Linked DNA regions of Callithrix jacchus. The protein of the gene in region 1 interacts with the protein of each later gene in a biochemical or structural test. Links are inferred from orthologs where the notes say so. Each region holds a gene or a part of one and is shown on either strand. Other genes may lie near its edges.

Evidence for each region. The genes of interacting proteins can lie anywhere in the genome.
Region 2: the proteins of COPS7A (region 1) and COPS4 form a complex in vitro, tested with the Homo sapiens proteins (2 studies listed by BioGRID). The link is inferred for Callithrix jacchus from reciprocal best matches to the Homo sapiens genes COPS7A and COPS4.

What each region holds. Positions count from the first base shown.
Region 1 is NC_133510.1:20,919,885-20,922,611, reverse strand, and holds part of COPS7A (COP9 signalosome complex subunit 7a), read right to left. Parts: intron 1,754-2,727; coding exon 1,678-1,753; intron 1,448-1,677; coding exon 1,359-1,447; intron 423-1,358; coding exon 220-422; intron 1-219.
Region 2 is NC_133504.1:114,734,722-114,738,242, reverse strand, and holds part of COPS4 (COP9 signalosome complex subunit 4), read left to right. Parts: intron 1-1,899; coding exon 1,900-2,053; intron 2,054-2,222; coding exon 2,223-2,373; intron 2,374-3,521. UniProt on the Homo sapiens protein: Component of the COP9 signalosome complex (CSN), a complex involved in various cellular and developmental processes.

The sequences.
Region 1 (2,727 bases):
TTTCCATCCCTGAATTACTATATCAAGGACACTGACTTCTGCCGCCTCCCAGGACCTCCCTACTCCTGCATTCCCCAGAAGCCTTTGAACTCATTTTCCTTCATCCCCCTCAGTTCTACCTCTGCAGACCAGCCCAGCTCTTGCCCTCTCTCACCCTGAAGCACCTTTCACTTTCTCAGAGTGAGAAGGAAGGGGACAGCACCAGGATATGGTTCTCACCACTCCTGCAGGGTTCGGGCAATGGCACTGAGGTCCTGGCGCTGGATGTCCCGCCCAATGCTGTAGTCAACCTCCAGCCGCTGGTTGCGCTGGTCCAGGGAGCCACGAAGCACATCAGCATACACAGCCTCAATCACAAGGTCTTCCAGCTGCCGCACGTTACGCAGGGCAAGAGCCTCCAGCAACACTGCATATGGGATACACTGGGGCCGCGGAGATCAAGCCAGGATTTGTGAGGCTCCGCAGCAGGAAAGGGCTTCCAAGAATCTTCCCTCCTTTTCCCCCTCCCCCAGCCCACCTGCCCTCCACTCCCATTCCTAAATCACTTCCTCTAAGAGCCTGGTTCTGAAGCAAAATAAAAGTATTCCCACTTCAAAAACAGGATCATTAGAAGGACATTCTTAAATCAAATACAAAATGCTCCCCTTCCACCCTTACCCCTCCCACACCACAGAGGGAGAAAAATGACACCTGCCTAGGTGTCACTCCTTTGGCCAAAGCTCAGGGTGTCACCCAGTCCTTAGTCAAGAACAGCTGGACATAGGGGAGGAAGCAGTAGTGAGAGAGGTCTGGAGTTACTGTTTATCATTTATACTCTGCCTACTTGCCAGAGGCAATCCTTTGGAGGCATCTCTCAATAGAGAGCCTGGTTTAAATTAAATCCTGAGGACAACTGAGAGTCAAGCAACAATTGCGAGGCCGCAGACTGGGCAGGTGGGGGAGGTGGGTGGCGATACTGGACAAAAACCAGCCTAACAGGAATAGAGAGATGCTTCCGGGATATATATTTCTTATTCTAACAAAGAGAAGCCTAGCACATCTCAGGAGAGAGCCCGGTTTCCAGCCTGGAGGCTGTGTCTATACAGGGCTTGATGAAGTGGGGAGGATGGTATTGCTGAACAACATGCCATTCTGACCAAAAACACAAGAGATGTTTATTTAGAACTTAAGTTGATTGAAAAATAAAAAGACAGAAAACTATGGACAATATTCAGCCTAAACAGTTGCTAATGGAGTTTATATACAGACGTTGGAGGAGGGGAGGGCAGGAAATAGCCACAGTTCACACAAGAGCTGTCCTAGTGCAGACTCCCAGGGACATACAAAAGGATGCTCTAGACTGGGGGACTGCCACTCACCTTTACTTTAGCAGCCAGGGTGACAACTGATAGGTGTCGAAGCTTATTCTTCTGTGCCTCTGTTAGCGGGGGAAGATTCCGGGCTTCAGCTAGGGAAAAATGACAAAGTATACGGAATCCTGATTGCAGTTTTGTGGGAAGCCCTAGCCTCCTTCCCTTGCTCCCTCCCCTCCCACTTTCCAGGCCAATTCAGGCTTGACCCTGATCCTCTGCACCCCGAGGTGGGATCTAAGTGGGATATCCCAGGAATTTCTTCCAAGTCCCTCCAGAAATTGCCCTTCTATTTCCATTACTCCAGAGCACCAACCCCTCTGGTTACCTAAGTAGTCAGCGTACGTCCCATAAGCAAACACTGTGAGCAGCCGGAAGGTGGAGGCAAAGTCACTCTCAGCCAGCTGTGAGAATGAGGAAAAAGAGGAGGTGACAGGAAGTCTTCCCTCTCCACCCTCCCAGCCTTACCATGTTTCGAACGCCACTTTTTGGCCCCATCATTCCCGGCCAGTGTTAACTCTCCTGGCTCACCAAAAGGAGTTCTCTGCCTCTCTGATCACTATCCCCACAGGAAGGGCTCATTTCCACCTGCAGGCCTTTGTTTATTTTACACTAGTCTGCCAATCCACAATGCCCTCTTGCTCCATATGCCATCCAATTCCCACCCTAAATTCAGAGATGAGGACATTCAGTTTTCAGAGTCCAACAGACACATACCAGACACTGCAAGTTGTGTTGTCTGGCCCTCAGTGTTTGGTATTTCTAAATATGAATATCTCTGGGCAGTCTGCAGTACTCCCCAATTAACCAGACTCCTGCCTCAGCCTCACTCATCTCTGAAAGCTGCACAGCCCACCTGACCAGGACACTATCTTCCATCACCCAGTCTAGTACGCTCAGATCTCCTCTCTTCGTATCACCAATCACTCATTCTGGCACCTTTTTTTTTTTTTTTTTTTTTTGAGACAGTCTTGCTCTGTTGCCCAGGCTGGAGTGCAGTGGCACGATCTCGGCTCACTACAACCTGCACCTCCCAGGTTCCAGCCACTCTTGTGCCTCAGCCTCCCAAGCAGGTGGGATTACAGGTGTGCACCACCACACCCAGCTAATTTTTGTATTTTTTTTTTTTTTTTTTGAGTCAGAGTGTCACTCTGTCACCCAGGCTGGAGTACAATGGCACGATCTCGACTCACTGCAACCTCCACCTCCTGGGTTCAAGTGATTCTCCTGTCTCAGCCTCCTGAGTAGCTGGGATTACATGCACCCACCACCACACTCAGCTAACTTTTTGTGTTTTTGGTAGAGATGTGGTTTCACCATGTTGGCCAGACTGGTCTCAAACTCCTGACCTCAGGTGATCCAACCACCTTGGCCTCCC
Region 2 (3,521 bases), on another chromosome or scaffold:
TCTCTACTTCACCTGTGATGGAGGGATTCTTTTTTTGATCTTCATTAATATTTGCAATAGTGAGGCAGACACTGCTTCAGACATCTTGCCTTTTTTGCATTATTTATGAAATTACTAGGTAATGATGCTCTTTGAAAAAGCAGCCAGTTCGTTAAAAAAAAAAAGCCTTCATATATAGATGTTGAATTTAGCATTTCAAGGTCCCCTTAATAATTTCGTAGTTTGAAGGATTTTCTTGATTGCTTTGATCTTATATTTTCTCCCTAGCACAGGACAATTGATTTATTTTCAGTGGTAGTTGAAATAAATATGAAATTAGATACTGTTTTTTTCAGTGGTCATAATTATCATTTTAATAGTACTCTAGCTTATCTGTGAGGAAACCAAAGAGATAAAAATGTCATTGGTTTTCTAAACAAGTTAAAGTGACTAAATGTAGACTTTGAATAAATGGGAACATCTTCTTTCAAAAAATGATTCATTCTGATTATGAAAGTAATTGACATAACAGTTACATGGCAAAAAGTTGGAAAATTCGAGTATAGTGCTATACATAGCAATTAATGTAAATTTGAATTGTGAATGGAAAAAAGTACAGAATATTAATATATGCAAAACAAAGTTGCATGAATTTCTCCTCCCATTCCCTTCCCTCCCACATCAATAAAGTATAGAATTATTTTCAAAGCTGGGGCCAAGTGAATTATAAACTGTGTTCTTGCCACATGGTGGCACCACTTTTACAGGTAAATAGAATTTTTCTATTAGGATTAATCTTGAATTATATGAGTTTTGAATTATGTGAGATCTTCAGTTATGTATTTCTGGCATAAAATGTGACCACGGAGATGAAGGGGAAAATGAAAACCACTTATTATCTCAGTACCCACAGATAATTGCTGTTACTATTTTGATATATGTATATAGAAATATATTTTGATAGTTTTTTACGTACTGTTGTATCTAGTTTTTTTTTTTACTTAGCAAAAATACATGATGACTGTTATCACATAATAATGGTTATAATTATACAGCGTTCTACCATTTTTATGTACAACTTGATTACCAATAATGTCATAATGGGTGATTTCCATTTTTTTCCTAGCATAGGTATTTATAAATAACTTTACAAATGAATATCATTTTAGGTGCGTATGTGTGGACATCCCTGGCTATCTTTTTAGGTTTTCTTTTCTTGATTTTTTTTTTTTTTTTTTTTAGAGACGAAGTCTTGCTGTGTCCCCCAGGCTGGAGTGCAATGGGACGATATTGGCTCACTGCAACCTCCGCCTCCTGGGTTCAAGGGATTCTCCTGTTTCAGCCTCCTGAGTAGCTGGGATTACAAGTGTGCGCCATCACTTCTGGCTAATTTTTCGTATTTTTAGTAGAGATGGGGTTTCACTATGTTGTTCAGGCTGGTCTCAGACTCCTGACCTCAGGTGATCCATCTACCGAGGTCTCCCAAATTGCTGGGATTATGGGCATGAGCCACCATGCCTGGCCTTAGGATTTATTTTCTAAAGATAAATGTATAATGGGTTAAGGGTATATTCGTTTTAAAGGATTCAACAGATAGTTGGAGAGCATATTTCCAAATTGTTTTCTAGGAAAGTTGTCTCACTAGTTATATATGATATACCCCTAAACTGGGAAGTTGTTCTTGTAAGAGCTTTAGCTGGTAAGATTATCTGAGGATTAAAAGCAGCTAAGATATAATGGGATCAATGATGATAAAAATTCAATAAAACTTACTTTTTAGTTTTTGTATAATGCAGTAAAAAGTTTGATTCCCTTATGGTACCAGAATATATATGAGGCAAAAGCAGCATATCTTCTATTATTCCTAAAATTTTCTTGACAAAATGTTGACTCATTATGTGTTTTTATGTTACATCCTAGACAGTACAATGTAGATTATAAACTGGAGACTTACTTGAAGATTGCTAGGCTATATCTGGAGGATGATGATCCAGTCCAGGCGGAGGCTTACATAAATCGGGCATCGTTGCTTCAGAATGAATCAACCAATGAACAGTTACAGATACATTATAAGGTAACAGCTGAGTTGATTTGGAATTAATTTTGTATTGGAGAAATTGTGACATACTAAGATGTTCCAGAACATCTGATAGATGCTCTTAAATATTAGAAATTCTTTTTCTGTTTTTTTTTACTCTCACTTTTTAATTTTTCCCCCTAATTGAAACATTTTCCCTCTGTAGGTATGCTATGCACGTGTTCTTGATTATAGAAGAAAATTCATTGAAGCTGCACAAAGGTACAATGAGCTCTCTTACAAGACAATAGTCCATGAAAGTGAAAGACTAGAGGCCTTAAAACATGCTTTGCACTGTACCATCTTAGCATCAGCAGGTAAACACGTAGTAATTTATGCTTAAATGAACAGTTACCTTTGCTTGATAACTTGAGGTTGGTTACTATTGGGAAATTTAGCAAGGAACTATTCTTCAAAGGGATGTCTTAATACAATTATGGTAAATGTAGTTTAAGTGTTTAAATAAAAACGAATAAAATGGTTTGTTAAAATAATTTAATATGCTCATATTAGTCTATTATGCATATGTGTTAAGAATAGTTAAAGGAGATAATGTAAAGTTTAGTTCTAAAATTTTACTAAAGAAATGGATATTGGCTGGGCATGGTGGGTCACGCCTGTTATCCTGGCACTTTGGGAGGTCTAGGCAGGTGGATTACGTGAGGTCAGGAGTTTAAGATCAGCCTGAGCAGCATGGTGAAACCCTGTCTCTTATAAAAATTAAAAAAAAAAGAAAGAAATGGATATCAAATTAAGTGAGAATTACGCAGAGTGAAACAAAAATTAAAGTCTATAGCTTGATGAAATGATAATTAATGTACTGCTTTTGGAATTTTTTTTAACTTTCAAGCCTCAGCTTTAAATCTGGTATTCATCCTTTTCTCCAATACATGTAACAAATAAATATTCTTTGTTCTTTTTACTAAATTATAGCATGTAAATCACTTATGAAGTAGAAAGGGCATTAAGAGGAAATGCTAATTCTAAACCATAGCTTTTCTTGCCCTTTTTTTTTTGAGAAGGAGTCTCACTCTGTCGCCCAGGCTGGAGTGCAGTGGCGCCGTCTCAGCTCACTGCAACCTCCGCTGCCAGGGTTCAAGGGATTCTCCTGCTTCAGCCTCCTGAACAGCTGGGACTACAGGTGCCTGCCGCAATACCCAGCTAATTTTTGTATTTTTAGTAGAGATGGGGTTTCATCACCATGTTGACCAGGTTGGTCTCGAACTCCTGACCTCATGATCCCCCTGCCTTGGCCTCCCAAAGTGCTGGGATTACAGGTGTGCGCAGCTGCCATGCATGGCCTACCCATAGCTTTTCTTATATCACTCTATCACCCAGGCTGGAGTGCAGTTGCACAATCACTGCTCATTATAACCTCAACCTCCGGGACTTGAGTGATCCTCCCGTCTCAGCCTCCCAAGTAGCTGGGACTATAGGCACACACCACCATGCCCAGCTAATGTTT